Linked DNA regions of Neurospora crassa OR74A. The protein of the gene in region 2 interacts with the protein of the main gene of each other region in a pairwise test. Links are inferred from orthologs where the notes say so. Each region holds a gene or a part of one and is shown on either strand. Other genes may lie near its edges.

Region 1 (3,314 bases), on a different chromosome or scaffold from region 2:
CCACCCAGCCCTTTCCTCCTCCTCTCACAGCCCTCACGTCCGTCACGCCCAAACTAACACCCCATCTTCCTACATAAACAGCCAGCATCGAAGCAGCAGCCGACAACCTATTATTCGAACAGGGCCGTCTCCTTGTCCCCCCTGAGACCTGCCTCTCCACCCTACTCAAACAGATCCTCGTCCAATTCACCAACACCTACGCCCTCCCGGATGGCAGTCATGCCCTCCTCTCCCAGCCCTCCAGCCTCGACCGTATCCTCAACTCCATCTTCGACACCTCCTGCCTCGCCTTCGTGACCGAAAAGGAATTCCGCATCGAGGCTGGGCTAGACGACCACGACAAGGTGACGCTGTTCGTCCAAGCTGTTGCGGGGATGGCCATGGTTTTTGAGCGGCTCTTGCGTGCTTGTTCTTCTTCTTCTGCAGCTTTCGCAAACTCTGGGTCAGGAGACTTGACGACCAGTCTCCTCTCCAGGGAGCTCCAGCTCTTTGCCGAGAGCGAACAGCGCAGAACGATGCTGGATCGTATCGGCGCGACGTCCTTGCTGAGCCATTGTTATACCAAAGACGAGCTGGTCAGCTTTGTGGTGGCAATGGTGGAGGATCCGGATCGGGCGTCCCAGCAGGGCGGGAGTAGTCTGCTCTCGCTGAATGCGGCGGGCGAGGATTTGTCGAGTGATAGTGTGGCATGGGTTAGTGGCCGAAGTTGCAAGAATATGGGGCTGCCGTGGGGGTTCACAATTATGGCGCTGAACTGAGGTTATACTAGACAGGATGAGAAGCTGCGGTCTGTCGGTGGGTGGATGAGTAAGGGTCAGGGAGAAGGGGGGTGTAAGTTGTGTTTTGGTTATCCCCATTCAGCGATTTTAGAGCAAGGCGTCAAGGGGTATCTTGGGGGAATCTTCAATGAATACATCACGTAATAATTACCGTTTGGTAAAGAAATCGACCTATGACTGCATTCACGAGACAGTTTCCCCGGAGCGCTGTGTGATGAATCGTACCTGCGCCTGATCTCGATTGGGTATAGTGGACATTCTTTCCGTAACTGATTTCATTAGGTCTAAGCCTTGACGGCCTGAGGGGCACCACCAGCCTGGGCGCTCGTCTGGACCTGAATGATCTCTGTCCTCTTCTTCTCAATCTTGCCCTGTGTCTCCTTGATGACTCCCTCCAAGCGAGTGCTGTGACAGTGGGTCAGTTGCGTTGTAACTCAAGATCCCATGCAGCAGTTCAACTTACATCTCCTTGCTGATGAACTCCAGTCTACCCTTGACTGTGTTCTCTGCATCCATCTTGTCCTGCTTGAGCAGCACCGGGCCCACTAGCTTGAAGATCTGCTCGTCATCCTTGAGCTTCTCGAACTCCTACATGGTGCTCAGTTAGTCCCCATTTTTTCCTTGGGCAGAATTTGGCGAAAGGCATTGGGCATGCGAGCGCGATGCTTGGAGAAAAGCTGACATTTTGCACGCTGACGTTTTCCTGCTTCTGAGCCTCGAGCTTCTGTCTGGCGAGAACAGTCTCTTGGAGTTCTGAGGTACAGTTAGTGAATGAACTACGGGGATATCATCATAAGGGGGGCTCACCTTTGTTCAGGTTTTGATACTCATCAGAGAGAGCTTGGAGCTTTAGTTGGAGGGGGCTGGCCATGGCTGCTTCTTTGAGGGTGATGTGAAGTGAGAGACAGGGTTATGCTGAAAAGTTACTAGGCGATGACGTTCGAAAACTGAAAAAGGGTTTGGACACAGTGAGGGAGGGAAGATGATGGATCAAAATGCAGGAACAAGAAACACAGATGAGCTCCAGTATGGGGAATTTGGAGGTTTCTATTCCGGGGAACTGAGCTCGCTGTGCAGTCAATCGTCAGGGGTGAGCTGAGCAGATCCCAAAGTCAGTGCCCAAGCTTTAGCTGTTAGTGCAGGAGTGTATCCTCAAGCAAAGTACTAACAGCCCCAGACCAGCGCTCTCTCCACGCGCAAACAAGTGGCGTCAGTGGCCCCCAGGCCGGGAACCATAACAGGACCCCGCGCTACGCTAGCGCTTCCAGGTCAACGGCCAAGACAAGTCGACCTCGTTGCTTGAAACTAACCAAGATATGGACAAGACCACCAACGATCTTCCCCTCTCCAATTCCACCTCAGACCAGGGCGCGACACCAACTTTTTTGTGCCAGAAGACAGTCTTGCCGTAGTCGTTGCCAGGTGACGCCCGCAAGATACGACCAATTCCCGATTTCTCTTCACCTTATCTCTGCCACTCTCGTTGCCGTAGCCTAGGACAACAGCAGTCGTCATCAACGGGTCTCCTCCCTCGCATATGGCCATCTGTTGACATTGACTTCGAACCTCGGCGCGCGAATATCAACAAACTCTCCTTGTCCGAGCGAAGAAGCAAACAAGTATAACGACTACAAACGCTTACTACGGCGTACCAAGAAGAGCGACCAATCCTACACTCGACTAAACCACGAATTCACGCGACATCACTTTACACGCTTCGAGCCGCCGCCGCACAAAATGTCCAATACCGACTTCCTCGGCCGCGCCATCGAGCAAGTGCGCAAAGCCATCGAAGCCGACAACGCCGCCCAGTACGACAAAGCCTACCAGCTGTACTACCAATCGCTCGAACTCTTCATGCTCGCCCTAAAATGGGAGAAGAACCCGAAATCCAAGGAGATGATCCGGGCCAAGACGGGCGAGTACATGGACCGGGCCGAGAAGCTCAAAGCGCACCTGGCGGACGCGGAAGCGAAGCGGAAGAAGCCCGGGATGGTGGGCGCGAACGGGGGTTCGACGGGCGGGACGGGGAAGGGGAAGGAGGCCGGGGAGGACGGTAATGGCAATGGAGAAGCGTTGGATGAGGATAGCAAGAAGCTGAGAAGTGCGTTGGCGGGCGCGATTCTGCAGGAACGGCCGAACATCAGCTGGGATGATGTGGCTGGTCTAGAGGGTGCCAAGGAGGCCCTCAAGGAGGCGGTCTTGTTGCCAATCAAGTTCCCGCATCTGTTCCAGGGGAAGAGGCAGCCGTGGAAGGGTATTTTGCTGTATGGCCCACCGGGAACAGGAAAGAGTTATTTGGCCAAGGCAGTGGCGACAGAGGCGAAGAGCACGTTCTTCAGCGTGAGCAGCTCGGATTTGGTGAGCAAGTGGATGGGTGAGAGTGAACGGTATGTTTTGTCCTGTTGTCTCTGTCCTTATGCCACTATCGTGACTGAGAAGCTAACGATTTTCCAACAAAAAACAGTCTAGTAAAGCAACTCTTCGCCATGGCCCGAGAAAACAAGCCCTCCATTATCTTCATCGACGAGATCG
Region 2 (4,358 bases):
GCCCAGCAGCGACAAGCGTGTCATACGGATACTTCTCCAGGACAGCCCTGAAACCACATGGTTTCGACCAGCCGCGACACTCACCGACTCTACTGAGGTGGCCGATGCTTTGGCTGTCCAAGCTTACAAGAGCGATCTTGCTGCTGCGATGGTCCGCGTGGGTGATGGCTTGCGGTATTGTCCCAATAGGATGCGCATGCAGATCGCTTTCGGCAAACTGTTCTTCAAAGAACGCAAGCGGGGTACTACGAGCTATACGCTCGATGAGTTCTCGAAGTTGGCTCGCAGGGTGAGCAGCAGAGGGACTTCTTACATGGAGATGAGGTAAGTGTATACTCTGGTCTTCCCTTCTGGTTCTCCTTTTTCTGGTCGCTTTCCCAGGCGATTAATGTCTAACACTGCTCAGACTGGGTGGTGAATCAATGCGCGAAAAGATTCAACATGCCTTCTCCCTCGATCCAGACTTTGAAGGCCCCCAAGGCATAGAAAACTTTGTGATTGTGACGACGAAAAATGTCAACCTGGAAGTGAGCGTCGATAAAAATCAAATCTGTGGTTTTACTTTCGGCTCATTGAACGTCTTCCATCGAGAGAAGAGCCACCGTAGTGTCGAACTTGCCACAGCATGCCCTGACAAGTAAGTCGGCATCTTTCTCACTTCCTTGCCAAACTAACACATCCCAGAAATCACGACTGGGTCTTGAAAGTCGAGTCTCCCATCGATGAGACCGGCAATAAGCTCCCACTCGATCAACATACACTGAGCAAGGGCATCAGGATTCGTCACAATGAGAACACCCGTTGTATTGAGCCTCACATTGCGGCGTCCTTCGCACAGAAACACCATATTGAGGCTCTCATTGGCAAGACGACCTGGTCCTATTACCTCAACAAGGACTACATCGTTGAGCTTTCCCTGTACCGGCAGTGGAGCACTATCTCGGGCACCAAGAGCCGACAGCCTCAAGAGCCCGTCGCTGGTGTGAGCGTCAGCATGTATCGACCGGAGTGGGACGACCACATGGCCAATGCTGACGTTTCAGCCGGACCGCGGTCCTGGGAAGCGTTTCCAGAACAGTTCTTCAAGTCATCCATGTCATCCGCTGACCCCACTAGGGATCTTGACCCGCTTGATGCCTTATTGCACTGGGTTGGAAAGGTCCAAACGGTGCTGGAAAGAACTGTATAGACAGACGCGGGCTATCAGCAGTTGTAGATGGAAAGTTGTCGTGGTGAGGTATTAAGAGCTGAAGTAGTGATGTTTGGCTGCTGAGCTCAAGGTCGCGGAACGGTTCTTCGAATACATGGGTGTGTCGTCATAATAATCGTCAATGGCTCAACGCGTATTCAAGGAGATCGAGGACATACACCAAGTAGCTGTGCCCAAGTTGTATTTTTGTCGTTTTTTGTTTGTTTTTTTTTGCTTCGCTTAATCACACAATAACAAGTCAGATTCTCCACTATGCCTGTGCCGATGCAGGTCCAGCTCCTTGTGCCAGCACCTTCTGCCTCAAGACTAGATGTTGATTCTTGTTAGTAACAATGCCATGGCTGAAATGCACGGACAGCTCAAGAAAAAGAGGAGAATGCCGTACCTTCTTCCACCACGCGGAGGTTGTTAGTCTTTCCCTGGACAATGGCTTCCAAGTTCTGAATGTTGGCGCCAAGTTCCTTGACCTTGGCATCGTAGAAATCAGTGGCACTTTTGGTGTCCTGAACGCTTCGAGTTAATAACATGTAGTGCCGTTCGTGGCGGAGAGACGTACCTTTTCGACGTAGAACCCAGTACCAACATCGACGATCACGCGGTCGGGGTTGGAGAGCTTGCCCTTGACGTAGAGGGAGTTGGTGAGGGGCACGAGGATGTCTTTGTTGTCTGTTGAATGGGGTCTTGTTGTCAGCGGTGACCATGACTGGAGGGTAGGCGTTCGGCTGGGCTTGGGTCGGGATGAAGGGAATGGAATTGTAGGATGGGCGTGGTGGAACAGCAGGTGGGAAGAAAGGGTGTTGATCGGATATGAGGATGGGAGATATGAGGCGTGGGGAGGTGGAGGATGGCGACATCACCGCCATGAGATGAGTAGATAAAAGTAAAATGAGGTGTAGACGTTTGTTATGGTTGTAAGTGGGATGAAGAGGACTGGAGAAAAAAAGGGATAGCTCATCGGGTCACATCAGAGAATGAGACAAAAGCTCACGAAGAGGTTGACCGTCAAGTGGAAGCTTGACAAAATCCATCCCCATCCCCCAAACTCCCGGCCCTTCGAATATACTCATAGACGATCCACCCCATCTCATCTACCACATCAAGATGAAAGAAAAATGAAGGAAACAGGTCAACTAAACATACCATCAAAAGAACTGCTTCCTGTCTGCACGATTCGCAAGCACTCTTTGAACTTGGCCTGCGCCGCAGCTAGCTGCGTGTACGAGGCCGTCAGGTGCTCGACCTCCTCGTCTAGCTGCTGCTTGACGGCGGTAAGTTGTTGAGCGCTGAGGCTCTCAATGTTGACTGGGAAGGTCTGTTAGTGACTGCCACACATTGAAACATCAAACGGGGAATGGGGGCGGCATCATGGTGTGGACTAAAGGGGGTGAGATGAGTGCGGGAGGTGACCAGGGGGGGGGATGGGGAAGGTAAGGTGAAGCTTGAGCTCGAAGCTTGATTGAGCTTTAGAGGAGGAGCGAACATGAAGCTCCCTTGAATGAGTGGGAGCTTGCAAGGTTCAAAGGAGCGGGCAGCGGTGAAAGGGGAGATACTTACCTCCTTCTTGCTTGCCAGACATCTTTACGCTTTCTTATTCGTTTGTAATCGAGAGAGGAATGGGCTAGATGTAAGAGTGTCTAATTCACAAAACCGAATGTGATGTTTGAACGAGGTTCAGTTCCAGTTGATCGGGCGGCCACGAGGGCCGGCAGCAACGATAGAGGTAGTGCGTGGAGGTGGTTGCCCCGCTATGAGAGCAGCTCTGTGGGGCAGAATTTTGCGGGCTTCCAGGGGTCGCTTCGTCGCTTTCCCCTGTTCGCTGCAGGCGGGGTACATGCCCGAGATCCTAGGTATGTAGTACCGAGTAAACAGTGACTTGACTTTCTCCTGACAACCATCTTCTCACTTTTCCTCGACAACATAGATAGGTCCATTGAGGAGCCAATCCTCGAACTGACCATCTTGTTCCAAGAGAAATACACGGCGAAGCGGCTTACTGGGTTGAGTATAACGGAAAACTGTACTGGAAACAGCATTTTATCCTTCTCGCTCTCTTCAAACTTTCTCGTCGGTTGCCACTATCAACGGGTGGCACCTCAACTTTTCGCGTTACACATAAGAACGGTCACCCCAGCAACCTCTAACAAACAAACACCCGAATTTCTTCTTCACCTCATCAACAAACCCCAACCCAAACTCGCAGAGAAGCACCACCATCATGGCGCCCTCACTGCCATCTCCCATCCCCAAAACCCGCATCGGCGGCATCCCCGGCGTCGACCGGGGCCGCAGCCTCTTCTCCACGGAGCGCTTCGGCGCCGGCGAAACCATCGCCATCATCGAAAACCCCTTGCTCGCTCTCCCAGACGACGCCAACATGCGGACGACCTGCAACTACTGCCTCTATGTCAGCGGGACGATCGAGTTCGAGGGCGATGTGGAAGCGGGGGCCCGGACGTGCAAGGCGTGCACGGGCTGCAAGGCGGCCGTGTACTGCAACGCCGAGTGCCAGCGGGCGCACTGGAAGCTGGTGCATAAGGCCGAATGCAAGATGTTCAAGCGAATCCAGGAGCGGACGGGCAAGGACTGGTTGCCGACTCCCGTGAGGGCGGTGGCGCAGGTGATGCTGTTGTTGAAGGCTGGGGATGAGGAGACTGTCAAGGCGTTTGGGCCTGGTGGTACGTTGGAGAGTAATGTGGAGGGGTTCAAGACTGATGAGGGCTTGTGGGGTGATTTCGAATTACAGGCTACGGGGGCGGTGGTTTATGCGGGTTTGTTGCAGAGTGATGAGACGTTGAAGCAGGCTATGGAGGTTTTGTGCAAGGTGAGTTTGATGTGGAAGTCTGGGTATCGACGTGTGATGTGAACTGACTAGTGCGGCGACCTTAGATCCAAACGAATGCGTTCAACAGGTTTGATGCCGACACGGGACAGGCGGGCATCTATCTTCACCCTAGTCTTTCTATGGTTAATCACTCTTGTGTTCCGAACGCCTACATCGCTTTCGAGAAGCGCAAGGCCTTTCTCAAGGCGGAGAGGGATCTTGAACCGGGCGACGAGATTCTGATTTCATATATCGGTATGGTAATTCCTTTCGCAAGCGAGGGTTTTCTCGTCTTCTAACTTGCCAGCCAGATCACACTATGCCTCG

What was found.
Region 1: the proteins of NCU02963 (region 2) and NCU06941 interact in binary tests that used the Saccharomyces cerevisiae proteins (3 or more experiments, as listed by UniProt). The link is inferred for Neurospora crassa OR74A from reciprocal best matches to the Saccharomyces cerevisiae genes GIM5 and YKE2.

The regions. Positions count from the first base shown.
Region 1 is NC_026507.1:844,189-847,502, forward strand, and holds NCU06941 (prefoldin subunit 6), read right to left. Parts: upstream 1,850-3,314; 5' UTR 1,651-1,849; coding exon 1,587-1,650; intron 1,533-1,586; coding exon 1,462-1,532; intron 1,368-1,461; coding exon 1,243-1,367; intron 1,185-1,242; coding exon 1,064-1,184; 3' UTR 759-1,063; downstream 1-758. Other genes in the region: NCU06940 (hypothetical protein), read left to right, coding at 82-758; NCU06942 (vacuolar protein sorting-associated protein VPS4), read left to right, coding at 2,517-3,169, 3,247-3,314. UniProt on the Saccharomyces cerevisiae protein: Binds specifically to cytosolic chaperonin (c-CPN) and transfers target proteins to it. Binds to nascent polypeptide chain and promotes folding in an environment in which there are many competing pathways for nonnative proteins.
Region 2 is NC_026501.1:8,561,378-8,565,735, forward strand, and holds NCU02963 (c-myc binding protein), read right to left. Parts: upstream 2,939-4,358; 5' UTR 2,787-2,938; coding exon 2,765-2,786; intron 2,513-2,764; coding exon 2,351-2,512; intron 1,877-2,350; coding exon 1,767-1,876; intron 1,714-1,766; coding exon 1,596-1,713; intron 1,517-1,595; coding exon 1,461-1,516; 3' UTR 1,190-1,460; coding exon of another isoform or gene 778-1,189; 3' UTR 638-777; downstream 1-637. Other genes in the region: NCU02964 (hypothetical protein), read left to right, coding at 1-324, 407-637, 778-1,189; NCU02962 (hypothetical protein), read left to right, coding at 3,426-4,031, 4,097-4,286, 4,343-4,358.